4 linked regions of the Arabidopsis thaliana genome follow. The protein of the gene in region 2 interacts with the protein of the main gene of each other region in a pairwise test. Each region holds a gene or a part of one and is shown on either strand. Other genes may lie near its edges.

What was found.
Region 1: the proteins of UBC8 (region 2) and XERICO interact in a two-hybrid assay, tested with the Arabidopsis thaliana proteins (one study listed by BioGRID).
Region 3: the proteins of UBC8 (region 2) and RGLG3 interact in a two-hybrid assay, tested with the Arabidopsis thaliana proteins (one study listed by BioGRID).
Region 4: the proteins of UBC8 (region 2) and MUB5 interact in a two-hybrid assay, tested with the Arabidopsis thaliana proteins (one study listed by BioGRID).

The regions. Positions count from the first base shown.
Region 1 is NC_003071.7:1,458,969-1,466,711, reverse strand, and holds XERICO (RING/U-box superfamily protein), read left to right. Parts: upstream 1-3,767; 5' UTR 3,768-3,899; exon of another isoform or gene 3,900-4,355; 5' UTR 4,356-4,407; coding exon 4,408-4,896; 3' UTR 4,897-5,164; downstream 5,165-7,743. UniProt on the Arabidopsis thaliana protein: Function on abscisic acid homeostasis at post-translational level, probably through ubiquitin/proteasome-dependent substrate-specific degradation.
Region 2 is NC_003076.8:16,672,678-16,680,798, reverse strand, and holds UBC8 (ubiquitin conjugating enzyme 8), read right to left. Parts: upstream 4,958-8,121; 5' UTR 4,909-4,957; exon of another isoform or gene 4,746-4,908; 5' UTR 4,728-4,745; coding exon 4,664-4,727; coding exon of another isoform or gene 4,658-4,663; intron 4,317-4,657; coding exon 4,180-4,316; intron 4,018-4,179; coding exon 3,913-4,017; coding exon of another isoform or gene 3,778-3,912; exon of another isoform or gene 3,720-3,777; coding exon 3,576-3,719; 3' UTR 3,290-3,575; downstream 1-3,289. Other genes in the region: AT5G41690 (RNA-binding (RRM/RBD/RNP motifs) family protein), read left to right, coding at 6,610-6,631, 6,724-6,797, 6,890-6,976, 7,100-7,167, 7,237-7,354, 7,440-7,528, 7,626-7,649, 7,738-7,807 and 2 more. UniProt on the Arabidopsis thaliana protein: Accepts the ubiquitin from the E1 complex and catalyzes its covalent attachment to other proteins. Mediates the selective degradation of short-lived and abnormal proteins.
Region 3 is NC_003076.8:25,604,021-25,612,980, reverse strand, and holds RGLG3 (Copine (Calcium-dependent phospholipid-binding protein) family), read left to right. Parts: upstream 1-3,674; 5' UTR 3,675-3,954; intron 3,955-3,993; exon of another isoform or gene 3,994-4,054; 5' UTR 4,055-4,064; coding exon 4,065-4,133; intron 4,134-4,212; coding exon 4,213-4,297; intron 4,298-4,383; coding exon 4,384-4,524; intron 4,525-4,609; coding exon 4,610-4,723; intron 4,724-4,802; coding exon 4,803-4,980; intron 4,981-5,057; coding exon 5,058-5,163; intron 5,164-5,240; coding exon 5,241-5,359; intron 5,360-5,474; coding exon 5,475-5,625; intron 5,626-5,727; coding exon 5,728-5,784; intron 5,785-5,891; coding exon 5,892-5,975; 3' UTR 5,976-6,210; downstream 6,211-8,960. Other genes in the region: SAL1 phosphatase-like protein, read right to left, coding at 1,179-1,348, 1,449-1,602, 1,694-2,009, 2,129-2,334, 2,432-2,505, 2,612-2,687, 2,914-2,979; AT5G63960 (DNA polymerase delta subunit 1), read right to left, coding at 6,309-6,396, 6,502-6,589, 6,667-6,734, 6,818-6,978, 7,064-7,153, 7,245-7,319, 7,759-7,830, 7,968-8,140 and 4 more. UniProt on the Arabidopsis thaliana protein: Possesses E3 ubiquitin-protein ligase in vitro.
Region 4 is NC_003070.9:29,280,709-29,288,808, forward strand, and holds MUB5 (membrane-anchored ubiquitin-fold protein 5 precursor), read left to right. Parts: upstream 1-4,254; 5' UTR 4,255-4,468; coding exon 4,469-4,598; intron 4,599-4,676; coding exon 4,677-4,853; intron 4,854-4,950; coding exon 4,951-5,006; 3' UTR 5,007-5,374; coding exon of another isoform or gene 5,375-5,455; 3' UTR 5,456-5,632; downstream 5,633-8,100. Other genes in the region: KOM (Rhomboid-related intramembrane serine protease family protein), read right to left, coding at 1,708-1,830, 1,956-2,082, 2,174-2,442, 2,529-2,692, 2,789-2,952, 3,440-3,750; AT1G77880 (Galactose oxidase/kelch repeat superfamily protein), read right to left, coding at 5,967-6,359. UniProt on the Arabidopsis thaliana protein: May serve as docking site to facilitate the association of other proteins to the plasma membrane.

The sequences.
Region 1 (7,743 bases), on a different chromosome or scaffold from region 2:
TAAAGTTTTTCTTAAATAATTACTATAAAAACATATTAATCTTTAAAAGATTTCTGTGAATCTAAAAACTCTAATTTTGTTATATATCATAAATATGTAATATTTTCTTTTATTTAATCTCAACCTCGTGGTGTACGTGATATTATAAAAAAGTGGTGTACAAATAGTAGTGTATGTCAAAAATGAATAATATTGGTCTAAAAAGTAATATACGTAATACGATATATGACAAAGTATAAAGTGGTGTACAAACGACAATATATAGCGGTGTACAACAACATAATACAATGGTGTACGGAGATGATGTAAAGTATGGTGTACATAATATTAATAGTATATATGAAATGATGAGATAATGAGTCATACCATACATCACCTCGTACACCGTACACAATACCGTACACTTTCACCTATTTTGTACACCCCATATACAAAAAAATAGAACCATTTTTGTCAAGTGATAATGTACAAAAGAAAGTTTAAATAATAGTATACGAGATTTGTGTACATAAAAGTGTACAAATGTTAGTGTACACTACGTAAGAAAGTACTACTTTCATTTAATGGTATACACTATCATGGTTAATTTAATGGTGTACATGATGGTGTACACCATCATATTAATATAAATTTATGAACAATCATTACTTTAATTAATAAATATGAGTCAAAGTCGGTGCACTTAATGATTTAGTATATATTGGATAAATATTGTTGGATAAAATAATTTGATGTATAAGTGTTAGTGTACAAAACTATGTTTAATGCTGGTGTACGAGATTGATAATTGAATATATAGAAATCATCTTGTTTTTGGAAGTTAAAAAATATTAATAAAATTAAAATTAAAAAAAGAAAGATGAAAATAACTATAATATAATAGTTAGTCTAAATATTTAAATACTGGAAAATTAGGACCACACTAAAACTTTCTCATATAAAGCAAAGGGTAAAGTGGTATTTGACAAATTTTTTGTCTTTTACCTTATTACACATAAACTCTATCTCACAAAAAGTAGAAAAGTGTCTATTTCACAAATTTCTAAAAAAACTACTTATTTCTCAAATTATTTTTAAAAAAGTGTCTACTTTATTAAGAAGCCCATATATTAATATATAATGTATATAAATTTTGTACATTGGTTGACGGGTTTTAAAATTTTTGAGCATGTATTAGGAAGCCGTATTACTTTATTAAAATCTTAGAATATATCTAGTTTTCCGAACGATTTGTTCTCGATCCTTAATTCCTTACCATAATTTCTCGTCTCATTACCTTAATCAGAAGCCATCTTACCTATTGTCAATTTGGAATAATTTAAATACTATATCCACTTGATTAACAATTTCTCGAGATTATTTTTAGGGCTAGGCATACATATGGGTAACCCGTTTGTGTTCGGGTTAAATAGATAATTGTAAATATTCGGTTCCGGTTCAGTTTGGATATATCTGGATTCGGATCGGTTTGGCTAATAAGTCTGAGAAACTGTAAATACCCAAAAATCTGGATTCTCTCGGATTCAAGTCTAAATTGGTAAAAATTATCCATTATCCCAAAATGTGTCTCCAATACCCAAACTTTCAAACCAATTTACATGCACAAAACAACAAAAAAATAATAATAGAACTTTAAACTTGACATCCAAAATCTAATCCAAAGTCATAAAGATTAATACTTAGAGTTAAGAGTAGAGAAATATGAATATGAAAACAATAAATTCGATTATCCAAAAATAAAAAACATAGAACTAAAACGAGAAGTAGGATTGTAGTCTTGATGGAAGTTGATGAATGGGTAATTCAATCAAGCATGCAAAAGGTAAGCTAGTGTTAACCCTATAAATGTTTAAAACTATATCTATATATCGTATAAATACACATGTCTTATATCGGGTTTATCGGTACCATGTTTGAGTATCGAGTAATCTCCGACCCGAACCGATATCCACAGGTTTACCAAAACCATACCTAATAAGGTAACTTCCTATTCGTCTAATCCGCTTCAACCCGATTATTTTTATCCGGGTATCGATTTCGATATTGGGTCTGGGTTTTTTTTGCAGCCCTAATTATTTCATTACAAGTAAATTAAAAATATATCCACATCCATCTTTGAAACAATATCTCAATTTCTTAAACTTAAGCAACTACATCAAGATCCACCGTGTTTAAATTGACTTTATATTAAAAACAAAAAGTTTGGTAAAATTAGTCTTCAGCTAGGATAACAACAAAAATATATACTTAGGGTACAAGTGATAGTTTTTGTTAGATGGATTAATATGGTAAACCAAAATATTTATATGCAATTTGCTAAAATTTCCCTTTTTGCATTGAAAATATAAAAAGAAATAGCCTTTAATTACCTGAAAATGGATTTATTTAAAAGAGAAGTTTTTCTGTGTTGTGTTGTATACAAATGAATCAAATCAAATTATTCAGTAAGTTTCCATATTTCATTCATCTTTATTCCATTCATTTTTTTCATATTAAAAGAGAATACAGTCTCTGTAATGGTTTCCGATTTTTTTCCTTAACTAGGTTCTTAATTTGTTTGAATCTTATTGTACTTCCAAAATTAACAAAAACAATTATATTTGATTTTGTGTTTCTATGTTTTTGTTTTTGGTCTTTAAAATCTCCAATATTATTTATTGGCCTTTTTCATGGTACGTAGTTGATAACTTGATACTTAAATAGACTACTAAAGCAAAAATATAATCCCTATTTTATTGGTTTTTAGTTTACTTTCGCTTAAAAACTGAGACATATATTGGATACGAAAACAAAAGGTAAAATATTTTCAAATATTAAATAAAAAATTTAGCTGAAAATTTACAAACTATAAATAACATAATATACCTGAAGCCAACCATATGCTAAGAATATTTACATAAAATACCTTAAATCGAATATAATCTATATGGGTAATTATATCCAAAAATATCACGAAATATTATTTCGTTGATGATAGACTTTAAAAATTGCATATTATGTACAGAAATACAATTACCGAACAGGAATAATTTTTTGATTACATTGACCACATAATATAACAAAACACTAATATTGTTTTGATAAATATTTGATGTTTTAGGAACAAAATACATGATGTTTTCAACTTTCAATATAAAATTAATTAATATACTTTTTTGGGTTTAGAGGTTTCTATTCTGTAAATTGTATTTTTTTTTCCTGTAGATTGTATTACTATTGGTCGATTAAATGGATAATAAATTAATTTTAGTTTGGAAATAAAAACAAATAAATGAATCCTTAAACATCAACTATAAAAAGACAGAGGAGTATCTTTAAAGAAACTTGGATTGTGATATTGCACTGTAAATAGAACATAAAATGTTGCAGTGTAACTTTATTTTAATCAAATAAACAAATGTTAGTAAAAAAAAATATATATGTTGCAAACAAGGATTAAATTCACTAGTAAATTCTCATTAACAAACAAACAAAAACAAAAACAAAAACAAAGATAGTGCCAAGCATTACATATATAAACAATAAAAAGACCCTACTTATTAATATCTTTCCTTAAAGAAACATGGATTATTATCATTTTGGCAGTGTATGAAGTAATAAATATAAACAAAATGAAATAAGAAAATGCAAGCAAGTACAATTGATGATATAAAGTAACCATGGTTAATCAAAAAAACCTGAAAGACTGAAATAGAGTTAACCATAGTTAAGCTTCTCTGGTTAAAAGATAATTGCTTTGCTATATATTAAACAACAATTGGAACCTCCTCTTTTATCAAAACCAACTCTCTCTACACACTTTTTCAGATTCCATCATCACTTGTTCTTTTCACACCCAATAAAAACTTGCATCTTTCTTCTAAATTGTTGATGATCGCTTCTCATATTTGACCCTAGAGGTTCGTACTTTTCTCTCTTTTCACTAAAGTTTCGATTTTTTTCCCCAATTTTTAGCCCCAGAATTGATTCAGAGTGAAGAGATTTCAAATTGGTTTCATAAAGTTTGCATCTTTTAGAGGTTTTGATCTGTGTTTCTTGATTTAGAGTCAGATTTTGTGTTTGGTACGAATCAAAGGCTTGAGCTTTTGGTTTGATGGTTGTAGAAATTGAATAAAGATCTGTTCTTGAATCCTTTTGATACTGATTAGTGTTAATTTGAATTAAAGCTTTGTGCTTTGGTTTCGATTTGCTAAGCTTTAGAGTTAATTTCTGTTTCTGGATCATAATATGAGACCTTCAAGTCTCTTGCTTGCTCATACTAATCATAGATTGTCATTGAAATCTATGTGCTTTGGTTGGAATGTCTTGAAGTTTTCATATGTTGTGAGCTAATAGCCCTTAATGGTGTTTTTCAGACAACATCATTTCTACCGACAAAGATTTGATATCGAATCCAACAAGTGAAAGATGGGTCTATCAAGTCTTCCTGGTCCATCAGAAGGAATGTTATGTGTGATATTAGTTAATACAGCATTATCGATCTCCATTGTCAAAGGCATTGTAAGATCATTCCTTGGCATAGTAGGAATCAGTCTCTCGCCGTCTTCATCCTCGCCTTCTTCGGTGACGGTATCTTCAGAGAATTCATCAACTTCAGAGTCATTTGATTTCCGGGTCTGCCAACCAGAGAGTTACCTTGAGGAGTTCAGGAACCGGACTCCGACACTGAGGTTTGAGAGCTTGTGCAGGTGCAAGAAACAGGCAGACAATGAGTGTTCTGTGTGTTTGTCGAAATTCCAAGGGGATTCAGAGATCAACAAGCTCAAGTGCGGCCATTTGTTTCACAAAACATGCTTGGAGAAATGGATAGACTATTGGAACATCACTTGCCCATTGTGTAGGACTCCTCTTGTTGTTGTGCCAGAAGACCATCAGCTTTCTTCTAATGTTTGGTGACTGCTTTTCACTGTATAGGTTTTTTGTTTGAGTGTGTTTGTTGTGTACAGCTACTTTTACTATGAATTAGGTTGCATCGCGGTTGATTCTCGAGCAGATTTAAACCGGGGATGGGATAATCTGATGTACATATATATATATACCCATGTGTATGGAGCTCTTGTTTGAACACAGTTTTCTTGAATCTATGTGTATGTGTGTGGATTAAGAGTTCATGTTCAGTCTTATGAGCAACTAAGCTAATCAAAAAGTAGTATTTTAATAGTTACATTTTTCGTAACCAAAAAGAAACAAAATGCAAGAAATAGACAAGACATTAGTATCCATAAACGACGTTGTTTTGTTCAAACAGATCAAATAAATAAGACATTAACACCGTAAAAAATTTTTGTTAACCTATTTAACGATATGACTCAAATGGCAAGTCAACAAAAACTTTGTCATTTGTTTCCAAAGTCAACAAAAACTTTACGATTTATTTGTCTTACGTGAAGTTCAAGATTAAATCATCCCAAATTTGAAAGTTCGTGATTTTTTTGACATTTTTCCCCATTAGGAATCAGCTTGTAGTATTGTCAGGTGGTGGAAGATCTAGATTTCAAGGCGAAAATTCGAAAAGAAAACGCCATAAATTTCGTAGCGAATACTTGTTTCGGGGTGTAAAAAAGAAAAGTAAAATTAGATAAAGAAAATATAATGTTATTCAAAGAGTAGAAAAATGTGTATACCATTGAGATTTTAGGTGTTGTGAGTAACTGATATGATATATAACCAAGAAAGTAAATAATTAAATTAGGATAAATGTGATAGGAACAGAATTATGTAATACTCCCTCCGTTTTTATTTAGATGATGTTTTAGGAGAATACACACAGATTAAGAAATCATTTAATCCTACTATATTATTTGGGAAGTACATTTTAAATATAACCTTATTTTTTGTAAGTAATTACATAGGTATGCCATTAGAAATAAAATTTTAAAAGTAAATTAATTCATCTCTTTAAAAATTAAAAAGTCAAATACTAATTTAATTAATTAAATTTAATTAAAAAACGAAATACATTATTAATTTCTAAAAAAGTAACCAATTAAAATCAACTAATTAGATTTGATATCCAAATTATCATATTAATTTTTTATTAATTTTATAGTACACCTCTCATCTTTATATGATTCTATTTTTACGAAAAAATAATATCATCGTTATAAAACAATAATTAGAGTTTTTTCGCATATGCCATAATTTGAATTTTTAAAAACGAATATAAACTGTTCAATACATAAAAAAAATATTATAACGGGTCAAAAATAGATTTAAGAAAATTTTATACTGAGTACTTAGTCACAATTTGAATATTTATATTCAATTTCATACATATTATTTTAAAATTTTATAATCTTATATACTACAATAATTAATAACATATTAGATTTTTTTATGTGTATGATGTGATTCAATTTTTAATACAAGCTGGAAAATCCTAGAATTGACGGGTTTAAATCGATATTACTACAAGATGGTATACTACAGGTGAAACTCTAAAATTAACAATCAAAATACAAGTGTATAATTTTAAACACTAAACAATATAAATAATATCAACAAAATATATACAACTCGCAGTTTACTGTACATTTAAAATCAAATAAAATAATATCATATATTTATAATCATCTTTACAATAAAAGTTTTTAGTTTAACTAAAATATAAGCCTACATGCGGTATACTACAAGTTGAAATTATAAATAAGCAGATTACTTTCACGATGTCTGTACCTTCTCACATACACACCTATCAAAAAGTTAAAACCTTTCAAAACCTCTTGGTATATTCAAATTAGGATTCTTCATTCATGGAATTATTATTCCAAAGGTTTTGTGATGTCTTATGAAATGATTTTGGAAGAAGAGGATGTAAATTTTTTTTTTAAAAAGGTAGTCAGCAAAACATATGTTTTTTTGAGAGTTTTTAGATAATTAAATCACAGAATAGAGTTGGGCATATGAGTAACCCATTCGAGTTCGGGTTTGGGATTAATGGGTATATGATTTACTACCCAATAGAATAATTCTAAATATTCGGTTCTGGTTCCGGTCAGATCCAGTTGGGTTTGGGTCAGTTTGGAAAAAGTTTCAGACCCTAAAAATATCCAAAAAAAATAGAAACGGGAAATTTTTATGTAGATAGCGGGTCTCTAAACAAAAAAAACTTTTAAATTTGTTAAGTTTTAATAAATTTAATTATATTTGAATATATTTTACTAAATTTTGACAAACATAACAAATAATTTTTGAATAGTTTAGTTGTTTGGGATATTTAGGTCCAAAATTAATTGACATATTTAGATTTATATTTATAATCTTAGATAATTAGATAATATTACGATTAAATATAATTAATATTTTGGATATTAAATTAATGTTTGAGTTTTTGAATATTCTTTTTGGGTAACGGATAATTTCCAGACCAATCGGATATCCACGGGTTTACTAAAACTCTACCTAATAAGGAAATTTTCTAAAATTTTAACCCGCCCTAACCCAGTTTTTTGGTTTGGGTATTAGGTTGGTTATCGGGTCCGTTTTTTCGTCAGCCCTATCAAAGATAATCTAATTTAGACCCCAATTAGGTCTATAAATGTAACCAAAATACTATAGAAAGACTAATTCTAAGTTAGGCCAAAAATTAGATCCTCTAATACAAAGAAAACATGTTTCTTACAAAAACAATTATATACAAATTTTACACATTTACTTAAAACTACATATGTTGTATTTATTATAAAAATAACATTTTTAAACAAAGTCAATCCAATGTAGCATTATATGCAAATAGTAAAAATA
Region 2 (8,121 bases):
TAGACCTTATTAAAACTATCACAAATAAGGAAAATTGCATGTAATCAGTGTAAAAAGATTTTCTTATTGCACCAAAAGAAAGCAATTCTAGAGATGGTAACAAATTTTCAATAAACAATTTTCTTCTAATATGCTTTCTCAAAAAAAAAAAAACGTGGACCAAGAGACAATTTAAATAACACATTTGTTAAAACTACACCAGCTCAAACAAATATAAGTCTTAAACAATTCCATCCATTTCAATATAAATACGTGAGTTTACTAAACTTCTCTACATCAAAATGAGTTGTCCTGCAATGAACCAACCAAGACATAATCTTAGAAATTTTATCTTACTGTCCGGCAATTGAAAAATTCAGATTTCTAAACAAAGATTACTATAAACGAATGTCAGAATCTTATGAACCTGAATCTCTTTAGAACCAATTCTATCTTTGGAGTTTTTCTCCAATATCAAGGATCTCATTCAACTTTTTATTCTACTTATGTCCTCAGTTCTGAGAACAGTCATCATAAGTCTAAAGTCTCGCTCGATTTATTACCGTTAGCGAAGGTAAAGATCGAAGTTTGTGACCCAAGTCATGGGATTTTGCTTTGTGTTGATCCTAAGTGCGATGGAAGAACAACGTATATTGTTCGAGTGGGATGTATTGAAATTAACCTTTATTGTATGCTATTTATGATATGGTAAAAATAGATTTGAATATTTTCGGTGTTTTATTGATGAATTTGTGTATACTAGGATTTTGTGATCAGTAAAGTTTAGTTTTACAATATTATTTTTTGTAAAAGATTGAAGTGTAATCATTTAGATTTTAGAATTTTGGGGAAAGAAAAACAGTACTTAAATGAAATATCAAAGATGATTGTGGAGAAAAACCGGTTTAGTACACCCTATAACCAAGAACCGTTTGTATCCGGTTTAACATCCACCAACTTCTTTTGCCGCTTCTCATAAATTCGAATTAGCCCCTAAAACTTACTAGTTATAAGCAGAGCCGTTGTGCGGTGGCTCTTTTTTCACGAGCCGTTGTGCGGTGGGCTCTGTTGTCACTGGCCGGGCAACTAATGTATCATACGACTTCGAGGAGGGAACATTTTTGGAACTGCGAAAGCTTCTTGCCAACGGAGACTCCCGGAAGCGGATTAAAATCAGCAGCGTAAACTCCAAGAAAACTCTCTGTGTTGTAGAATTTATTTACATACTGCAAGTGATCAATGTTCAGCCTCCTGAAAACCGCTATCACGTGCGAACACGGATATCTGTAAAGTTGCCATATCCCACATGTGCAAGCCCGATCGCTGCGATGAACAAAGAATTTCATGTTTCCAACTTGCATCACTTCCGTGACCTGAAACCTCTGTCCAGACTGGTCTAATGGCAGGACATCGTGTGTTATAGACTCTTCAAGCTTTGTCATGACATGTTTAGCATAGACCTCTCTTCTGTTTTTCATTGATTCCTGGAGAAGACCATGTCGCAGTTTGAAAAGCTCTGCCAGGTGATCAAAGATTAGCAAGATACAAGTTGCCTAAGACAGAATTAGACAAATGCCTTCCCTCTGCGTTACTTTCTTTCTGATGCACGAAAAGAACCAACGCCAAGTATCAGCTGACAAATCTTCTTGGGTAGTAATGGCAAACGCAAGTGGGAAAAGGCTGTTTTCGGCATCTAATCCCGCTGCAACCAACAATTTTCCAGGGTATTTACCACTCAAGTCTACTGTATCTACTAAAATGAGAGGTCTGCAGTGAGGAAACCCTTCAACTGACTGCTGAAACGCCCAAAACACAGAACGAAAGGATGCATTTTTGGGATCAGGAAAAAGATCATATTGCCATTCCAAAAGCATCTTGTTAGATGAGCCAAGGGCAGCCATGAACTTGGGCAATACGCTAAAACTCTTGTCCAAATCTCCCAAGATTGCAGAGATCGCTTCCTTTTTAGCCTTCCACATATTAGCATACGAGACTGTGTAGCCAAATGCTTCTTTCACCCAATTGTTCAGCTCTACAATTGAGAGCGAGGGCTGAACCTTTACTAGACATTCAATTTCACCTGCCAGGAAATCTGAGCCCACATCTGCTGGCTTACAAGCATGTGGACCTGTGTATTCTGTTATCTTGAAGCCATTTCCATTCGTTTTAGCTGCCTTGAGAAACCATCTACAGTAGTTCTTGCACCCTGATTGAAAGGTACCCGTAATGGGGATTTCGAATACATTGTATTCACGTTGCCTTCTATTAGAGTACAACTTCACTGCTTTCGCCAGCTCATCTTTACCTCTAAAAATCATCCCAACATGCAACTCACTTTCATCGAGCCATGAACTAGAGAAAATCAACTGCTTCGAGACACTATCACTGACGCCTTCCGTTAGAGTTGGCTTTTTCATTTTCGAATCCTTCTGTGCGACCCCATTATCACCAGAGTTTCCGACATCCGTACTCTCCTCATCTTCAATCCAACCATTATGGTTATCCTCCGGAGGACTTCCTAGTTTAGTATTTCTCCCACTCACATTTACATCTGCATTGACACTACTAGCATCCTCTTGCCGATAACGCTTTCGGGGCACATTACTTTCCAATGGGGACTGATGAGATATAGAAACAGTAACTTCATCAGAAAACGGTTTGATCTCTAAATACACCTCCAGACTGTTGATAGATGGATGGTAGCATGGTACCTCAAGCATCATCTCCAAACTACAATCGTCCACAATGGGCAAACGCACATACTTGACCATCTGTTGTTGAACAATGGAAGGGTACCTACCAATCAAATCAATCTGAAACTTTCCCTTTTCAAAACCAGTAAGTCGATGCAGATCATCCAACAAATTGGATAGTTCGATTTTGCTATCAACTCTGATCCCTCTTGGACTTGACCCTTCATAGAACGGACCATCAGGACCATCTTTAATACAACCATTCCAATAGCAGAACAACGGAATCTTTCTTGTATCCATGAACACCACAAAACCTTCAAATAGAAATAAACCCTAAAGATTAGGTTTTTTTTTGTTGTTGATGCAAAATGCGACATATATGAACTGTGAGTGAGGTTAAAGACTACAAATTTGTACTTAGCACTGTGAAAAATGGTCACTTTGCAGAAGAGAGTTTTTGTAATTTTACCTTTTCTTCCGCCGCCGGCTTCGGTGACTTCGTCGGCAAAAGACAACAGTTTGGTAAAATGGTCTGTTCTTTTTTTTCTCGTAGTTAACGACGGTGTGTCTACGAGATAGTGATTATAAGCTACATATTTGTGGTAAAATAAAATATTGGGAAAGAAAACAAGTCAATGAATATTCCTGACAAAGAAAAAATGAAATGAACAACAACACAATGTTTCTCATCACTCACTAGTAAATAAACTTTAACAAATAACCTTCAAGCTTTAGAATTCCATCTTCAAATTTCAGATAAAGATGATGATAATAAAACCCATAAACATATATAGTACAGACGAAAAAGTTGATATTTTAGACATTTTTATTAAAGTTAAAACAAGAAGAAGAAAGAAACAGACATGAAAACATAAACAGGTGCTGAAGCATACGAATCTTTGTTTAGCCCATGGCATACTTCTGAGTCCAGTTTCTTGCAGTAGCCTCGTATTTGGCTCTGTCGGTTTTGTACATGTGTGCAATCTCTGGTACCAAAGGGTCATCTGGATTTGGATCTGTTAACAGCGAACATATCGAGAGCAACACCTACCAATTGCATAAACATTTCCATTAAAACAGCTAAAAACTAGAGATGATGATCTTACTACATACACAAACATTCAAGAAGCAAAGCTTGTGCATTGAGCAAAATCCTAGCTGAAAATGTAGATGCTCTTGCTATACTTTTGGAACATAAACGAACATTGGAGAACCGATGTTTCTGAAAAATGAGAGTCACCTTGGAAATGGTGAGGGCAGGGCTCCATTGTTCTTTCAAAATGTCAAGGCAAATGCTTCCGTTGCTGTTGATATTAGGGTGAAACACCTTCGTCCTAAATGCAACCTGCAAATAAAAACAAAACAACCAATAAAAGTGTCAAGATTAAGCCAAGAAATTGATTTGATTTGGGGGCAAATACAAGTTTTAATTAGGTCCAAGAATTTCAAGGAACTCTACTAAACCTAAAGTTCGTGGTAATCTAAGAGTTGTTCCAATATTGAATACCTTTGGTGGTTTGAATGGATAGTCCGGAGGGAAGTGAATGGTAACGAGAAACACACCGCCTGAATACGGACTCTCTGCAGGACCCATAATTGTAGCTTGCCAATGAAACATGTCTTCAGCAACTGGACCTGCAAAAACTAAAACATAAGCAAAAAAAACACCACAAACCAAAGAAGGATTCTAGTATTCTACATTTCTCAACTCTTCTAACTCTGATTAGTCTAATAATTAGAGAAAAGTAGAAACTAATAAACTGAAATTCATCATAAAATCTTAAGATAAACATAAGCCAAAACATAAGTAGACAACACCACAACGCAAAGAAGGATTCTACATTTCTCAACTCTGATCAGTCTGAAAAGTAACTTTCACCTTTGTGATCTCTAGAATGCTAAATCTCTGGCATATTACCAGATAATCATAGATAAAGTAATGGATCCAACAAGAAGGAGAAAGATTTGAGATTTTTGAAGTGAACCTGCACTGCAGGAGGTTGGAGGGTCTTTCTGGAGATCCTTCAGCTCCTTCAAGATCCGTTTCGAAGCCATTTTCTCACTGAGAAACCCCTACAAAAAGTAATCCAAGTTAAACCTAGATCAATCCAGCTCAAATCCAGAAACTTTTTCTAATCTGATTGAATCGAACAAGAAGAGACGAGCTTTTTGAATTCCTACAAAAGAAGAGAGCTTTTTCTCGTGTGGGTTAATCAAAAGGAGAAAGCTTTGATACCTCAGAAAGAATCCTCCAAATTTGGTTTTGCGATTCACTCCTGCAGATGATTGGAAGAAAGCAAAACGAAAGAGAAAGTTTTGGTTTTTATGCTTTAAGAAACGGAAGCGAATAATTTAATTGGATAAACTATGATTTATTTTAGTAATAATGGCTGCTTAAGAAATATCTGTAAACATTATAATTTTAAAATACTATCTAATTTTTTTAAGAAATTATAAAGGGTGGGCTATATTTGATTTGACCCCACTTAGATTCCAAATGATTCTGAATCACGATGAATTTTCAATTGTAAAATTGTCCTCTTTGGTACATATTTGATATTTCTCTATTTCTATAGCCAAGTGTAGAGATATGAACGGCTGATTATATTTTTGTAAAAAATAAAAAATGAAACCAGATAACCAATCATAATTAATGAAATTTTATCTAGTTTTTGTGACATGATTATTTTAAATCTCTATCTCAAACTAATGTTTTATGATTCTAATTTATCCATACTAATTACATTTTATCAATAGAATGTAAATTTTATTTTGGAAAAAAAAGAAGTAAAATATCTTTAAATTTTGTAATCTCACAATAGTTGAATGTCATATTATGCGAGTCATCATGTTGTCATAGTGGGATTTGTATTACTGCAAATATCTAATGAACAATAATCAACGAATTAGTTATGGACTAATGAAAAGATAGGATATGCATTAAGATAAACTGGATTTGGTGAAAATTTAATAAGATAACTGGGTTTGGTGAGAGTGCGAGACTATTTGGCTCGGTTCAGTTTTATTCCAATTTCAAAAATTCCAATTTGGCTCGGTATAGTTCGGTTTATATCAGTTTCTATATTTCAATTTGGGTCGGTATAGTTCGGTTTATGTATTCATTCTTTTTGAGATGCGCAACAAGCTCTCACCGTTTCTCCTCCGCCGCTACCACAATTTGCCGTGGCCATGGGAATTCTCAGATGAGAACAATGAGAGCATTAATCGAAAGAGTCTCTCGTCTTACTCTGTGATCAATCTCTCGAATTCTCCTTACCGATAGATGGAGACGGTGTTTGCTTTTTGGGTTGTTTTCCGGTGATCGCATCTTCAATCAGTGGTGGTAATGGAATGGAGAAAGTTTCATCACGGAGATATGCTTATCTGGAAACTCTTACTCATGAGATTAAGATGAAGTTTACACGGGTTTGCCTTTCTTTTTAGTATTTTTTTCGCAAAAGATCGATTTGTGTCGATTGGTTTTGATTTTGCCCAGAAAACACTATTTGATTTCTCTAATTCGAGACACATGCGTTAGGTTATCGAATTTTGATATCCTCAATGAATACTTTTGTTTCAATTTTGAATCGTTACGGTTTCCGATTAAAATCATCTTTATCATGCAATCCACAGGTTGAGATTGTACCTGGTCTCTTGCTTTTTAATCGGAAACTATGAATTATGAATTCCAGAACAAACACACTGGGCTGATTTGGAGGTAGACGAAAAAGAAGAAGCATGTTGGGCCTTGGGCCTCTTAAGCAGGTACAATGAAAGCCCAGCCCAGCCCAAACCAAAACATTTCCTTTGATTGTTTTCTATAAATAAAACGTAGCTTAGGGTTATTTACTTTACAACGTATTGCTTGCGCTCAACGGACTCTTCCCGGAAAGAAGACATAAACCCCTTTAAACCTCCTGCTTTCATCTTCTCCGTGATGGTCAAATCTAACTCCCAGGGTTTGTTTTTTTGGTGGTTTATGATCTCTTATCTAATGTTGTTTTATACCAACTTACTTGGTTCTAAGAAGTTTTTGCTACTCTTCCTTTAGGTAAGCGTAACCCGCAATATGGTTTGGAGGCCAACCCAATTCTCAAGAGACATAAGAAAATAAACAAGAAGAAGGTAAACCTCATATGTTCGGATTCCTCTTCTTCTTTCAGACCAATTTTCTTTACTCTGCCTTTTTCTAATTGCGGCTACTCATGTAACAACAGGTGACAACGAAAGCTATTGCTTTTAGTCTCCAGCAGAACGACTTGTTGGTGACAAAGTCTGATCAGGCTAATTTAATCTCAGTCAAGGTTTAATTTTTGATCATTATAATGTTGGACTGTTTGTTACATGTATTGTACAAGTTTTATGTTCAATTAAGCTACTTTTTTTCGGTTTGTTATGCAATTTAAGACTTGCCTGTTAATAATCAGGAAGCTGCAGTAAGAGAGAAGACGCTCTTTGTTGCCAATCTCCCTTATGAAACTAAAATACCAAATATGTAAGTAGTACCTTTAATTTCCTCTGTTCTCGGATCCAGTTTTTCATGACTAATCATCTACTTTTGCAGCATCGATTTCTTCAAAAAGGTTGGAGAAGTTGTTCGTGTTCAACTTATTGTAAACCTCAAGGGTAAGCTTGTGGGTTGTGGCTTTGTTGAGTTTGCTTCTGTTAATGAAGCAGAGGAGGTGAGGGTTTTTTATAGTAATGATGAAAAATTGTACGAGTAGTTATTTGAAAGTAGGATTGCTGATTAAATCTTTTTTGTTGTAGGCGCTGCAAAAGAAGAACGGTGAATGTTTAGACAATAATAAGATTTTTCTTGATGTGGCTAATAAGAAAGCTACATACCTTCCACCCAAGTAAATTGATTTATGTAACACTGGTTTTAACTCATTGCTAGAGTTTTGATGCCATTACAGTAAAGACTAACGCCAATATTATTTTTTTGCTAATTAGGTATTGCATAGATCACAAGGTTTGGTAAGGGATTATACTATTTGCCTTTTGAGCACATTAGGTGAAGTTTTTGGTATACGTGGAGAGATCACAAGGGTTTTTGATATTCCAGGGACAAAGACTACCGTAGACTAGAAAGCCATCCAATAGAAGAAGATGAGAGACCTCCTAATTCTGTTGAGGTACCTGTTCTTATTACCTTCAAAATAAGTCATGCTTAATAACAGAACTGTTGCCACAAAGTCGAAAGATGACTTATTTGGGAATGAGTCTTCAGATGAGGCTACTTTTTGTTGTTATGCAATGAAAATCTTTTTCTCCTTACAAATCGTGCTAACACACTTGGTTGTTAAATTCAGGAAGTACTCTTTGTTGCCAATCTTTCTCCTCAAACTAAAATATCAGATATGTAAGTACTACTTTTAATTTCCACTTTCGTTCTCGGGGCAAGTCTTTTCATGACTGATATTCTACCCTCCACTTTTACAGCTTCGAT
Region 3 (8,960 bases), 8.9 Mb from region 2:
TATTATTATTAGAATACTCTGCAGATTTCAGATGGCATATTGCAAAACTGCTATAATCCAAATGAGGAAAACATAAATACATGTAAACAATCCAAGAATGAATTGGTCCAATAGGAAGATATTTTCTTAGAGAGAGATATTTCATTTTATATGAATTCAGATTTTTATATTTTATTTAGTAATATATATGTAATTTCGGTAAGTTTGCTTTCTTTTTGTAGGTGAAGATAACAATCCTGATTAATTTTATGTTTGGCAAGAAATAGTATATGATTCTCAACTTTCTAATTAAATTATTTTGGGTTCGTTGTATTTGTTTAGTCTTTTCTGATATGCTTTTATTCCAAAGAGGTTATATGCTTCTTCTTCCTTTTTCCCTCTTCTTTTATACTAGCTTACTAAATTAATAATTAGAGGTATGCTAATCTTAATTAAATTATATTGCAAATTGCTTTTATAGATATTGTAAATGACGTGTGTACCTTTTGTGTGGCCAGGTCTTGTCAAATCTTTCGCTGAAAACAGGTTATTGTGTGTTATATCAACAACTTATCATTATTAACACAAAATATCTTTGTAACATGGATTAAAAACAAAGCAGCTAGTATATATTATTCACATGAAAAGATTAAAAAAAATTGTGCGACTAGTAGATTTGTGATCGCCCCTTTATAAAGTTTGACTAGATCACTAGACTACATTTAATTATTTACAAAGTCTCAACGATTCCTTTCATCGTGAATGGGATATTATTGGGAATAAAATCACGAATTTCTAAAAGTTGCACAATAATATATATTTTTTTGTAAGATGGTACACAATAATATTTTAGTTATACTATAACCAAAGAAAAAAAAAAACTATTTACACCATATTAATTATTTCTATATGAAGAGATTTTCTACTTAACGCGCTTACTTTCGTATTAAGATAAAGTATCTACGCACTGTAGACACGTACGTCGGTGCATCATGCATGTAACCCTTAAAAGGCCTTTTTACGGCCCGTTACTGGTCCATATTAAATTCTCTACATAACCCTTTATACTTAGCCCAAAACAGAATTTCATTTTTATTTCTTTTTCGAAAATGGAAGAAATTCTCACTGGTGAAATTCGGTGAAAGAAAATGAAACAACAGTTACAGAGAAACAAAGAACGTACGAGAGAAAAAAACAAATCAGAGAGCTGAAGCTTTCTCTTGCTCAGCTATGGAGTCACGAACTGCTTTCAAAAGCAGAGGCATTAGCTTCTCGTTAGCAACGATAATGCCTGTGTCCAAATCAAGATACTTCCCTTTCGAGAAATCCAGTGGCTTTCCTGCTGCATCTGTCACTATTCCACCCGCCTCTGCACCAAAAAGAAGAATCAACCTTGCATTCCTTATCTATTTACATCCGCATGTCGACACTATAAAATTAGCTTCATAGAGAGTAAGCTTTAATGTTACCTGTAACAACTATAGCACCAGCGACATGGTCCCAAATCTTTTCGCGGTATCCTTTATGAGGAAACCGTAAGTATATAGCTCCATCTCCTCTTGATAAAGCTCCATACTTTGCTTGGCTATCAATACGGACTGGTGGAGCTTTGACACCGAGTTTCTGTATATTACAACATAGAACATGATCAAATGGATGAGGAAAATTAGTTAGCTATTAGCTGGAATCACATGGAAGGAAAGAAGCAATTTACATTGGCAATGGAGCTGGATAAGTCATGTAGAGAGTGAGCTCCTTCGAATGACTCGAAGAACGATGCCTCTTCAGGATTCTCAACACTAGAGACTTGCACTTTTACAGGAGAAGATTTTGAATCTAGGAGCTGCATATATGTCCCTGAACCAATTGTAGCAAAGAAGAGGCATCCAATTTCGTCTGACGAAGATTTGTTCTTGTTGTTTCCTGCTATGGATGCTAACGGCAAGTTTGGACAAGCAAGCACACCTAAAACTACTTTCCCTTCCTCGAGCAATCCTAGTGCTACTGCGTATTGATCTCCCCTCAGAAATCTAAAATCATGAAAATGCTCAGTGTCAGGAACATAACATCTGACTCAACATTCTATCAAATTTACATTTTCTCTGAAATAAGAAGATTTGACTTTAGGCTAGTTAGTTTTAAAACGTACCCTTTAGTGCCATCAATTGGATCCAAGACCCAGTGTCGACCATTTGGACCACCTTCAGATGTTCCACAGTCAATGGCTCTAAGTAGATCATCAGTAGACAAAGTAGAGCCATTAAACGATTCCTCGGTAGCCAAAGTGTCGTTCACGAGTTTTGTGATGCGCTCCAGAGTATCCTGAGAACCATCCTTGCGTAGATCGCCTGAGTCCTATATAGATCATTTTAGACAATGTGAGTCCATAAACACAAACTCAAAGATAAGTAAAGTGTGAGACATCTAACAAGGATTTATTAAGCAGTTTCACCTCTTCAGCCACCAATGAAAAGGGTTCAGAACTGAGCTCTTTTTCTAAGACTAAACTAACAACTGCTTGTGAACCTGAAATTCAACACAAGACAGATCAAATTAAGTGATTTCCTAACAATCTCAGTAACATTCAAAGAGAAGAGCTTTTTCTAATCAGGGACAGGTATAACAAACTAACCATAATCAGCAACGGTCACTGGACTTTTATCAGATTTTGATTGCACATCTGATTGCAACAAAGCCTTTTGAACTTTCTGAAACAAACCCAAAACACAAAGATAAGATTTTGATCAAAGATTTACACGAGCTTCGTATGTAGAGGACCATTACACTATATCACTAGAATCTATTCCCAATTACAGATGCAATGCACAATAAACACAAAATGTTAAACGAAATTTGGAAGATTTACAAAATGGGTTTCTTAAAGAATCAAACTTTAGAATCTATGGGTCATGATTGAATCGAAAAAACCCTAACCTGACAGAGACGAGCAGCGAGTGAAGCAGCTTTCTTAGCAGCATCAAGCTCTTTCTCGTAAGCCATCGATGAAACAACTCTGAGAGTAACAAATGAAGGAGAAGAAGACTTGCGTCCGAATACAGAAACGAGACGGTTCGATGAATTTCTAGGTCTCGAATTCGTTCTTACTGCTACAAATGATTGAAGCGGAGCCTTCGCTGTTCGAAAACAATTTATAGACATCATTCGCTTTTCAAGAAGATAAATATATGTCTTCACATTTTCTGATTGCAGAGACAATTATTATTACTTTTTTGAATTTCCCATTTACACCAGTGTACTTATTTATTCTCTGAACTTAAACCCTAAACTTTATTTTAGATCAAGAAAGGCCATATTTGCTCTGTTGGTTTAGGGGTCCATGTGGCACCAATTGAAAGAACAAGTACAAACGGTGAAAATCATAAAAATAAAAAACTTTAGTGATCTTCGTAGATTGGTTGTTGAGTTTTGGGCTAATCGCACGTGGATGTTGTGGTTGAAACATAAGTGAATTTATAGGTGGTGAAGATACAAAAAGGCTTCTTGATGAATGAAGAAGCCCAATAAAAACGGTTCTGGGTTAATATATTTTGAGGGAATCAAAAGCCCAAATAATTTTCTTCAGACAAGAGCTACAGCTTTGCCACGTTGTCCACATGAATCATGTTGAAATTTGGTCTATGATTTTGGGTTATGGATAAATCATTAATGACGCAGAGACAAGACTAAAAAAGATTTCTAGATTGATGATGGCGTGTGAGAGAGCAAAATACGTTTTGATTATTTGCCGGCGCAAGCAAAGGGTCACGTTCCACTAACTTTCAAGATTCAACAAAACCCACTTTCTATAGTTTTATATGTTCATTTTTTTCTGCTAAAGTATTTTTATATGTTCATATTTCTCTTTTGTGCCATCTTTTTAATAATTTAATCTTCCTACAGAAGATAATCTCCAACAAAAGTTTTTTCTTACAAGAAAGATTCCGAGAAGTCTTTTGTGTTTTCAACAAACTCCAGGTTGATATATACTTGCCACTTGTGTAACTGTATCTTTTATTCTTGATTTTGATTGGTTTCTTCTCCAAAGATTGGATTTCTGAAGGTTCTTGTGCTGCAGGGTTTTTTCAATGAACATGAGCAATAAACGTAATCAGCAACCTTCGTATATTGCTGATCATTTCAGCAGTTTGGATCAGGTCTCATAAACTTACTTAGTTATTTCTTGATTTTAGTCTCTTTCATAGTGATGAATTTCTTGTGAACTTTGCTTTTTAGGTGATAACTTCTCTGAGAGAAGCTGGACTTGAATCTTCAAATCTGATTCTAGGAATTGACTTTACCAAGAGCAATGAGTGGACAGGTAATTATTTGATTTGATAAAAAATGCTACACATGTTTACGAAAAGATTCAATGGTTTTGGTTAATGTTCTGAATTTTCATTGCAGGGAGATATTCATTCAATAGAAAAAGCCTTCATGCCATTGGTAAAAGACAGAATCCATATGAGAAAGCAATATCGATTATTGGTCGTACTTTGTCTCCCTTTGATGAAGATGATCTTATACCTTGTTTCGGTTTTGGCGATGGTTAGTTTCTTATTTCTTGCTTTCAAGATGAATGAATAAGATAAACCAAAGTTCTTAATGGTTTTATGTTTTCTTCTTCCTGCAGTAACAACGCGAGATCAATATGTATTCAGCTTTTATCCCGAGAACAAAAGCTGCGACGGATTGGAAAACGCAGTTAAAAGATATAGAGAGATTGTCCCACATTTGAAGTTGTCCGGTATTTTTGAACTTTCAAAAATGGAGCAGTTTTGTTCTCTCTTATCGTAAAGATTAATCAGTGTATTCTTCCCTCACAGGTCCTACCTCGTTTGCACCGGTTATTGATGCTGCCATCAACATAGTTGAGCAGAACAATATGCAATACCATGTTCTCGTCATTATCGCAGATGGTCAGGTCACAAGAAATCCAGATGTGCCGCTTGGTCGACTTAGTCCACAGGAAGAAGCTACTATGAACTCGATAATGGCAGCGAGGTAAAACTATTCAATAAGCTCATATTCATGATCAGACTTCATATGTATACTAATGATGTTTGATATAAATTTTCCAGCCATTACCCATTGTCGATAGTCTTGGTTGGAGTAGGAGATGGACCATGGGACACAATGAAACAATTCGATGACAATATTCCTCACCGTGAATTCGATAACTTCCAGGTAATATAATAAAACCCTGAATAGCTCTGTTTTGTTCCTGAAACATGAATCATGAAAAACTGTGTTTTGTTCCACAGTTTGTAAACTTCACGAAGATAATGTCAGAGCACAAAGATGCGGCTAAGAAGGAGGCTGCTTTCGCACTCGCAGCTCTCATGGAGATCCCTTTTCAATACAAGGCTACATTAAGTCTCAAGTAAATGCAATAAAAAATTTACCGTTGGAAACTACTTGTATCACTCACTGTTTATGGTCTTATTGCATTAGATTCTTTGCCAACTAAACCAACCTTTGATTGTGCTTATGAACAGTAGAAAACCAGTGCGCAGTTCCCATCAGCACCACAAGCCACTCCCGCCACCACCAGAGGTTATAGAGCGTGACAATGCTGTTAGATCGGTGCCAAATCAGATGACAGAAACTGCAGAGAAAAGTGACAGACTCGCTCCTTCCACAGTGCCGGTAAATACTCTATTATTTCTGCCTTTGTTTCTGTTCTTTTGTCAATGAGTATACTCAGTTTCTCTGATACTGAGATTTACATTCCTTTTGTTTTTCAAAAAGGTATGCCCGATTTGCTTGACGAATCCAAAGGACATGGCTTTTAGCTGCGGTCACACGGTATGTGAAAATTTCAAAGGAACAATTATACTCTTACTTGTTCTATGAACTGTACTGCTTCTAGATCGATTTTGTGACATCTCCGATACTTTTTATTTCAAATAAAGACATGCAAGGAATGCGGAGTTGTTATCACAACATGCCCACTATGCAGACAACCAATAACAACAAGGATAAGGCTGTACACTTGACTCGGAAAAATTCTTAGAGATGAGACAAATTATATGGTTAAGCACTTGAGCTTCATGTTTATACTTCTGTAGAACATTGTACAGTCCAAGCAGAAGAATTGTAAAGCATAAATCTCGAGTTGTAGTTCATATGTAATTCTTAGCCTGCCGAAACAAGGAGATATGCGAGAAGAGTTCTCTTTTTGTATTAATCAACAGCTACGTACAAATAAGCCGAAGAGGTCCTTTTTATAACATTCCAAAGAGACCTACAAGTTCTAAATCAAGCGGAAAGTGTAACAGCAACGATACCAATGGAAAAAAGAGAGAGCTAAAAACAACCTTAAATACTTATTAGAAGCTCCAACGGTCGAGTTGTTGCCTGGCTACAGCCATGTCTTTTTGTGCTTTCATTCTCCGGTAAAATATTGGACAATCTCGACTGTAAAAGACCAATAAGAAATCCAGAAAGGAAATTGGATCAGAACCTATTTACCTGCTGAAAGATTTCTAAAAGAAATTGATATCGATAAAAATATAAGCAAACCTGGTGCACAAGACATCTTGATGAAGAGAGCCTTGACACTCCTGGCACTGTGTCCACAGCCTCCCAAAAACCTCTTCAAGCTCAGCCACTGAATAACACAACGAAAGTATCAAATTTTATAGATATATCAAAGAGTCTATAGGAAAGGGAAAAACGGCAGCATACCTTGAGACACGTTTTTGCAATATAACTCGGCTTCTCTTCCCTTGCAACTTGCGCATAGTGTTCCATTGCTGGTTGAAGTTAAAAGCGAATATTGATAAACAGATCCCATATATGAAAACAGATAATACATAGGCAAGGGACCACAAAGTACCTGATCGGAACTTTGCAGCCAACACAGCTCAGTTGTTTTTTAGCAAACTTCATTATACCGCTGTTTGAAGGAGTAGTGATTGATATTGACCTCGTGTGACTTCCATGGAGAAGCTCCTTGCTAGCATTTTTCAGGACTGGCTCAAAAATCCTAAGAAGTGGCTGAAAACAACATCTCCTTTAACCTACAATCACCAGAATAAAGAGTATAGAATAAACTTATACACAAACGCCATGTTGAACTGACCTTGCTAATCTGATTCTCCAAGTAGTAATTTGGGTCTATAGGGATATTATTCTGTAGCACGTAGATTGGATCTTCTGATCGTTCATAAGCCTATCAGACGTCAAAATGAGATAAGCACGGAAGAAGAGAATGACCTTAACATCTTATGGAAAAGCTAACACAAGCTTGACATGAAAACTACCTTGGCACCTTTAGCAGCTTTTATGATAACATACGGTACTCGATCTCCAACATTTGGCGCTGTAGCAGCATCCCTCTGTCACATATGTAAGCAAACACTGTCATATTCACATGATAGATCATCAGACACCGTAAAACAGATCTAAGTTTCAGAGCAACCTTTGTATGATATTATATATTCACCAAAAAGCCGGAAAAAAAATTCATATATTCAGCAAAATTATGCATGACTTAAGAAAAATCCCTGCACTTGTGCAGCTATAAAAAGACGACCAAAGAACCATATTAAAATATTATACAAGCCAAAAATTAAAATTTAATTGTTTAGCACTCCCATTTTTCAGTTTGAGAGTGTCCATGAGATGCTGGAATTAGAGTAAAGGAACGAAAATTCCCCTAGACACATTTGTACATGTTTCTTCACGAACGGAAACGGTCAAGAGTTATCTTAACATGTAATGAAAATGCTTAATCCTGCAAATGATAGACGAAAATAGATAAAGAGTACCACAAACCTTACGCATGCGTTCAGCAAGTTCACCATGAGCTGATTTAACTTCATAATCATCTCCTGTTTTCGTTAGACCCTATGATTTGAGGAAACACATCAGGAGCATTATCCATTTGATTCTTGTTTTAGTTTTAACAGATGGCTTTAATCATTAAAATACACTTTCAGGCGATACAAACATCACAGGACAATAAATCAAGTAAAACATATTACCTTAGTAATCACCAAAAGTGACAAGTCAATACGGTTCATGAGAAGATCCGAAATGGTTTTCTTGACATTTTCAGCTGCCCCTGGAACATCTCTATCAATAAGTATTTTGTTAAGACTCTCAGTCACGAGGTTCTTAACCAGTAAACAATTATCCCTTCGTACTGTCTCGATTCCTGCCAAAGTCGGTGATATTGAAATTTAGTCAGGAAATGAATAAGAGAGAGGCTGTAAAATCACGAAGATTTACCTTTGGTGTCCATTTTGTCAAACTGTTGAGGATTTGTCCATAGCAAACCAGCATACCTCTTCTTGTTAATGAGAAGATATGGGAAATAGACCTTTTCAAACTCCAATTTGATGGGCTTTATGACATCATACACAATCAAGAAACAGAGAACGATTCAGCCTGTTATATTTTGTTTTCAAGAAATCACGTAATCTTGCACCTCTACCCCAAGGATTAGGGAGAACCGGAGAAGTTTAAGACATGCTCCTAGAAAATCACTTACTTTGATAAAAGTTCCACTAATGTGTTCTGCAGCTTCCCTCCCCAAGGTCATCGCAGCTTCTACATCCGATACTCCAAATTGCACCATGACTGAATCCGTGTCTCCATAAATGACCTAATACATCATAGTCCATCAAATTCGAGAAATCTAAGAGCAAACTTAATGATTCACTCAAGTCTTTTCAATACAACGAATAATTCAATGAACATGTACCTCTGCATTGTATTGATACCCTCCCAGTGTTGTGAATTTGTCTTCAACAAGTTTCTTTGTTTGTTCAATCATCTGACGACCTTCAAAAAGATACAAATCCATCAGAACGAACCTAAAAGGCTACGTGTCTAGAAAAGTTGCAGTTTCACAAAAGAAATACCATAGCTAGTTACACTCGAGGATATTTCTAAGCATGGTAACTGCCCAACAGTGGCTCCCGTAAACCCGTAGACAGAATTTGCACTGATCTGAGAAAAAATAGAAAACAAAT
Region 4 (8,100 bases), on a different chromosome or scaffold from region 2:
ATGTACGACTGTAGTTTTCTTTATAGAGTCGTCTACGACTTTGTTAAAACTCGATTGGGAAAACAAGATTATAACAGCGGTTAAAAGTTTTGTAACTTTTATTGTAGTATACCCGATTTACCTAAACCAAAAGCTATGTGATCAACACTAGTAATCAAGTTTATAAGGTCAAAAGAACCTTTAAAGGGTGAAAAGAAAAGTTGATAAGTTAATAACTGATAAGCACTCCACTAATCATCTAATCGGACGGTGGAGATACATGGAAGAGTTGATTATTTAGAGGGTCAAGAACCGCTACTTAAGATACGTTTGATTGATTTCAATATTTTTTTAAAATAGAAAAGTAAAAGTGTTGAGCCGAAATTAGGATGCAAAGGTATATGCCATATCAACGTTAAATGGTAGAGATTTGTGGTTGTAATATTCCACTTATCATTGATGCACATGAAAATTGTAATTTGTTTTTTAATTACTTGTTGATGTGGTCCAAATTCTCGATCTTAATCATATAGTATGAACTAAAAGAAAGAACGATTGGAGAAAGTTGTACTGTTTATACATTGAACACAACAAGTGTTTTTATATACATATTGGACATACATAACTTAAAATTTTTTGTTTCAACAATGCAAGAATTTTGATCAACTGACTTTGTATGTAAATGCTAAAAAAATCTGAAGAAGATGGAGTTCCAAACTTGTGTTGGTTTGTGGGTAATTTCCAAAATACTACAACACTTTATATAAAGCTGCCAAACCAAATTTTCCCCAACCACCATCCGCTCTAATTCTGGCTTCACATCCCTATTAACCGGATAAAGTTATAAAGTCAACTGATTACAAAACAGAGTAGGTCTTCGCTTTTATACACCAGAGAGAGACCACTTAACTGAATTTAAAACGAGTTCTGGAAAAAATCTAGACTAATTCTTAGTAATTGTAATTGTTATGCGAAATTACATATTAAAGATGGCTAACTGAAGAAAAAACTGACATAAATTGAGTGACTTAAATATGTTGTAGCAACATAAAAGGAATATTAGTATAGAACAAACAACAAAAACATTTGAGTAAAATGCATATTTAGTGACATTAAGAGTAATGAAACCAGTAGAGATGTCGTAGGCAGTTGAGTAGCTTAATGAGGTTTAGGTCCACAGTATGGGCTTCTTCTGATATATTTTAATATAGTTTATGAGCACATTTCTCAATTCTATTTATTCAAAATTCCCTTAGAAAATAGTAGTAATTAATTTTAGTGACCCTATCTATATATATCTCTGTGTCAAGGCCGGCCCTTTTCTTCTCATTCTACTACACCCACAAGCCACACCTATTTATCATCATCACTCCTCCTAAAGCAAATAAATGAAAGAACAAAAAATGAAGAAGCTCAATATTATACTTACTTGTTGGTGTGTCATGTGTGCGTAGATATGATGTGGATTGTGTAAGAAACTAATGTGGCTACTGGGTCCTCTCATATGGGACCAAACTTCGTAGACTTTAGTATTTACATTCATAGAACCAAAACATTAGTCTCATTACAAAACATTTACCACTTATCCGTTAAGGCTATAGGCTACAAACAAAAGTTACCAGAATTGACCAAAGAATCTTACGAGATTTGTGATTTTGGTATATGCAATTATTCAAGTGTGGGAGTGAGTATATTAGATCTATGAAGGAGTTGAAGCCTTGGTCATCTTTAAGAGCATACGAGTGTGCAGAGGTCTTCTGTCCTGGCTTGTGAGATATTGGTGAAAGGAAATATCCTGAACTTTCCATTTGCCATGCACGTTAGTGTTAGCTGAGCATCACTCACCATTGCCTGTCGTATTCACATATAGTTTTTTACAATGTTGTAATCACTAATCAGACTCAGAATTTGCATATATATAGACTCAGATTCTAGTTTCAGGGTCACAACAAAGGTTATGGTTTAGATGAATATACCTCGCAGGAAGTAGTCATGTCGCTGCAGCTCCATTTTTTGGTTGGAACACAGTCAACATAGCGACACCAATGGCAATGACGGTTGAGATTGACTCCCCAGCATGCTGCTAATAGAACCCCGGCAAGTCTAAACAGAGATGGAAAGCTTTTTCATGTCACAAGAGCGTAGATAAAACAAAAAAAACTAGACCAAAAAGAGATTTGAGGTAAATTCTCACATTCCACAAAACACGAGCAGGCATATAATCCTTAATACCGGTCTGTCAAACTGTTCTTTAAGCCTTGTGGATCTGTTCATATCATCTTCAAACAATTTCCCCTTATGAGATGGAGGCATCTGTCTCAGTTGTGGTTTGAACAATAGCACAAATCCAAGGAGGAATCCTGATATGAAACCACCAATATTTGCAAAGTTGTCTATGAAAGGGAGAAAGCCTATCAGGAAATTCACAGTGAAGATAGTGAATATTATCGCCAAGGCTGAAATCTGTACCAAGCAAAAGAAAATACAATCAGAAAAGCTATGAGAAGAAGATAACAAGAGACAAAACAGAACCACAAGAAATCCTTGACCTTGCTGTTATATAGATTCCAGTTCTTTGCAAGTGCAGAAAGCATGGCTCCAATCAACCCAAAGAAAGCAGCACCAGAAGAGATTGATGGGATGTTCCGAACAAACAACACAGCAAACAGACTACCCATAATGCCAGAGAGGAAGTATATGACTGCAATCCTCACTACAAAACCAAAGCAAAAGCAGAAGAAAGGTGGATTAGAAAGGTGATAGATTCCATCCAAAACAGACTAATCAAAAGTCAAGTAGTCTAAATTACATGGTCCAAACTGTTGCTCCATGTATATCCCTACGAAAATCAAACTCCCAAGATTTATGAATAGATGAAATAATCCACTGTGCAGCCATGGAGATGTCAAAATACGCCAAATCTCATGATTCTCCGTCAGAGCTTTCCAAGAAAGACCTCCCATATGCTCTAACCTGCAAACTCACAAGAAAATAAGTAGTCCATAGCTTATAATCAGTCATTTGATAGCTCAAGTTACCCCTATTTCCCTTAATTTTCTGAAACATAGAGCTCTCACAAGAACCACCACTTGAATTAGATTGCTTCATCAACAGAATGTAGCACCAAGAGCCACACAAATAAACACACACACACACTAGAACAACACAGAATTGTAAACAAGAACTTGTCGGTTGTCACTGTAATCAGAGATTGAGACACTATGAATCAGCTGAAACTCATCAATCTTGGAAACTAGTATCATCCAAATCCAACAAACTTCAGCAACCTATCGTTACCGATCCAAAAGATGAGCAGAATGAAACATCCAAAATTACAGGTCTAAGCAACGAAGCATCCAAAATCCATCTCTAAAGGATCTAACAATTCAATTAGAGATCGATTCCAAAATCAGTTACAAGCAGAGACCAAAAGCGAAATCCGCCGGAGAGAGCTACTTACGTTGAGGCGGAGGGACCAAGCATAGGATTCTCGGAGAGAGACTGGAAAGAGAATCGGCCAAGGAGTTTAGCGGAGCAGTGACCGTGAGAGTTCCCGGAGCAATCGTTGACGCCCATAGTTACAGCGAAGAGGACGATCTGAAGAAGAACGAAGACGGAGACAAGCCAAGTGTCTCGTTTGATTTGCCGTGAACGGTGACGGAAGAATGAGATCTTGTCCCAGCTAGAATCGCCGGCGTTAGAAGTGGTAAACGAGAGATTGTGAGAGATTTCATCGATCTGCGTCGTCTTTGACTCTGTAGGAACCTCCATTGTTGAAGGTGAGCGAGAAATTAGGGGATGATGACGAATGGGTTGTTTTATACTTTGTAGAAATTGGCGGGAAAATGTTATTGGAGAGCAAACCGAACGCTAACCGTTTCACGATCCGGTTCGGAATTGATTTAGAGCGCGTGTACCGCTTACTATACACGTCATTATCATTTGTATTAAACTCAAATCAAAATTTTAAAAGATATAGCTGGATTAATTTTTTCAACGCATTTGATTCTGTATTTTATTTTTATTAAAAAAAGATTCAGTGAACATATAAAAAGATTAGTATCATTAAGCCATTATTAATTACTATTTTCAAGCAAAGAATGTATCGTGTTTGTGGAATGTACGCAAGGAATGATTCATGTATTCGTGACGGTTGGTTTTGGTTGGCGTCTAATATGACAAGTGATCATAAAAGCTTATGTTAATATATCATCATATAATCCAAATCATTTATAGTTAGTACTTAGTATGCTAAATATACGTTGCAAATTTATCGTATATAGTCAACCAAAAAGGTAAATTCAGATTTGTATAAATGTAAATGGAGAGATGACTGTATCTTGAGATTTCTGGTAGTTATTATATAAGTTGAGAAAGAGAGTAAGAGACCCAATTATTGTTATTTTCTAAATTTGGCTCTGCTCAAAGACAACGGAACTCTCTGCTTTTCTTCTTTCTAGAGATCTTTTCTTGAGGTAATAATTTAAAGATGGGAGATGAAGATTTAATAGAATTGAAGTTCAGACTCGCAGATGGTACCGACATTGGTCCAAGCAAATATAGTCAATTCATGACTGTTGCATCTCTCAAGGAGAAAATCATTGCTCAATGGCCTAAAGGTAAATCATTTTCTATGTTTCTTCTCAAAAGTTTTGCTATTTGTTTAAAGGTGAAGTTGAAAATCTTGTTGTGGACAGACAAAGAAAACGCACCAAAGATGATAAATGAGGTTAAGCTCATCAATGGTGGGAAGATACTTGAGAACAACAAAACACTTTCTGAAGCAAGGTCCTTAATAACTATTGGTGAACTTCCTGGAATTGTAACTACAATGCATGTTGTTCTTCGTCCTCCTCTCTTTGAGAAGAAAAAAGGTAATTTCTATACATTTTCTCTTCAATTCTTGAGTGTTTTTGTGTGTATTTTGTATATCTCAAAGCTTTGTTTTTATGTTTTCTTTTGTTTCTTCAGAGAAACTGCAGAATGATCCTCCAAGGAAGAGTCACTGTGTATGCTGCATTTTGTAGCTCCACTTAGAGATTTTTGATCCTTTATACAATTTATTCCATTGGAAAAAACTTTCCATATCTTAAAGTCTTCAACATGGATCTTCATTACCAGAATGATTTTGGTTTTTCTTCCTTCCTTTTCTTCTTCATTGTTTATCAAAAATGGCTTAAGAAAAATTACTGTGTTGTTGAAGATTGAGGTATTATGTAAAAATTTGTTCATATGAGTGAAAAGCAAATATGAGTTGCTTGAAAGGACCTGTTATAACACAAGAAGATAACTAGTTATATATAACTTTAGAGCACTACAATATTTACTTAGAGATGTATATCCATCCACATAGTAACAAATGCTCCAACTTTTATCTGTTGTGATCACTACATCTTCACACAAGCTTGAGCATTTCCTCAATTAGATTGTTTATGGCTCTATACTTCATCATCACAATGTTTGCTTCAAGAAAGAGCTGCAAGAGTTTCAGAAACTGAGTGATGATAAAATAATTACTGTGTTTTTCTTTAAGCATATTTATCTGGAAGCTTGGTCTGACTATACAGATCTACTAAATCAGCACATGCATTGTGGAAGGTTGTAGGGTAAGTTTTGATTAGAAAGGGACACCATTTTATGGCCTTAAGATGGAGAGTAGGTCCACTATCAGTTAATGGGTGAGGAAAATGATGGTATGACATGACAATATGATATAACATGAGTTGCTTTCAATCAACCTATATAGTACACTAAGATTATTATGGATGACTATATAGTACACTAAGTTTATTATGGATGACTAGTTCTGAAAATGACCCCTTTTTTGCTTTTGTCCTTCAAGTGCCTAATTCTCTGTTTTTTCCAGCCTAGTTAAACTAGTAACCACAAGTCAGTAAATCAACATGATGTAATCAAGAATTGGCTATGGCAAGTTCTCGAAACGATTGTATGCATTATGCAATCATATTCAAACCATAAATCCTACATCATATAGAAAACAAAATGATATATATGATCATGAGGAAGCAATGACTCAAACAGTGGTAACAAGATAGTGCTCGAGACAAATTGAATAGGGGCAACGTATGCACAACATGACACCACTCAACTTTCCCATAAACCTCATGGTCGTTGCGCCTCTCAGTCATAAAGAAATAGAGACAACTCTCGGAGGTACCTAAAAGCCGTCGGGTCTCGTAGAGCTCTGTGGAAGCGAGAAGAGAGCGGAATCTCTTGGAGACTAACGAGAGAGTTGGGTAGTACAATCTAGAGATGCGTGCTAAGCAATTCAAGAGTAGATCGTCTGGGAGATATGGTATACTAACCTTTTCAGCTTCAGATGTGCTACTCAACACAATCTTCTTCTTCTTCTTCCTCATCTTCACCGACGACTTGATCCTCTGGCAGTCACCGACCAACACAGTTCTTCTTCTCCGACAAATGCTTTTTTCTATTTCGCTAATCTCAACAATTTGGGTCAGTAAAATGCTATTGGGCTGGGCCTGTATTCTTTTCTTTTATTTAATTTAAATCGTAAGCCTTTTTACGAAAAAAAAAACAATTGGAGAAGAACGAGATTTCGGGGATTCTGATGGTTCTCAATGGGCCTTTTAACTGATTCAAGCCCACTCTCTTTTTTTTTTTTGGTGATTTCAAGCCCACTCTCTTAATTCACTTCCAAAGAGTTTTATTAAATTTAATATGTTACTAAAATTTTTTATATCATTTAAAAATTAATAGTTAATTCATTTGTAAAGGTAAAATTGAAATTTGTTTTTTGTTATGAAATTATGAGTACAAAAATAACTGTATTTTATTTCTTAGCTATTAAATCGCACACTTTAATTACTATATATATTTTTCTTTCAACCAAAAAGTAATTGGATATTAAACATCATAAAAAATAAACTATTTTTTTCCGGATTTTTTAGTTTTTTTTTTCTCTTTTTAAATATATAGAGAATATTAAATAGATTGTGAAATATGTTATATGGTACGAACGATGGGATAAGGATTCTCTTCTTTTGATCCTAAAGTTTGGTTTTCTTTTCTTTTTTCTCGTAGTTGCCTCTGCATCACGACGCCTTACGTGTTTAAACACCCACATTATATAACTTTAAAGAAATGGTCTACAATTATATAATCACTCTCTTTGTATACTAATCTAGTATAGTTAACGAATACTTGCATTAAAACTGGCTGTAGCTCATTCGAAAGTGGATTTTGGAACCTAATAAATGATGACATAACTAAAACGAATTAGATGACTATATATATTAACTCTATAAACACTGAGGATTAGTACTATTCAACTCAAGATCTTATATAAATAAAGTAGATTAGCACTATGATTAGAAGTGACCCCATGTTAGATATTTTTGTACTTTTAATTCAATCATAAACATGTACTATGCTTGTTAGAATTTAAATGTTGATGCAATAACGACAATAATACAAAGTAGTATTAAACTACCTTTTTGTCTATCAATGTTATGATTTGCGAAAATATTATAAATGCAAGTTGTTTAGTGTGTTGTTGCCTGATTCACTTGGACGATTATTTTTGACTTAAAAATGATTCTCTACTAATAGAATAAAACGTTGTAATTGTTATATATAGATCTTGGCGCAGCCAGGCAGCCTCCTCGAGTCCTCGTGTTATTCTACACTTAACTTTTATAGGCCAATATTATTCCCTCACCCTTTAATTTTATGTTTATATATACATTGAAGGAAGCTGGAGAGTACCTTCTATACTAATATAAACTAAGTTGTAATTTGCATAGTTTAAAGCGTTAATAACATACATTTTTCAACCGTCCATTGATCTTCAATCGATTTTCAAAGATGCCAAATTAATTCAAAAGCGTTAATAATATTTGTGTTACAAATTAAAAATGTTGTTTCTTATATTGATGTTTCCTTTTACTGTACTACGTTTTTTCCTACATCTACAGAAATATTTGCTTTATGTTGTTCTTATCGATAACAACTTACTTCGTTCCACATGATTTTTCACAAAAATCTCATCGTATTTTCGATGTGGAATTTGTAACACCAACAAAAGTATGTGGAAGTGTTTTGTGTTTTATTTTCAGCGTCAAAATGATTATGAATTGT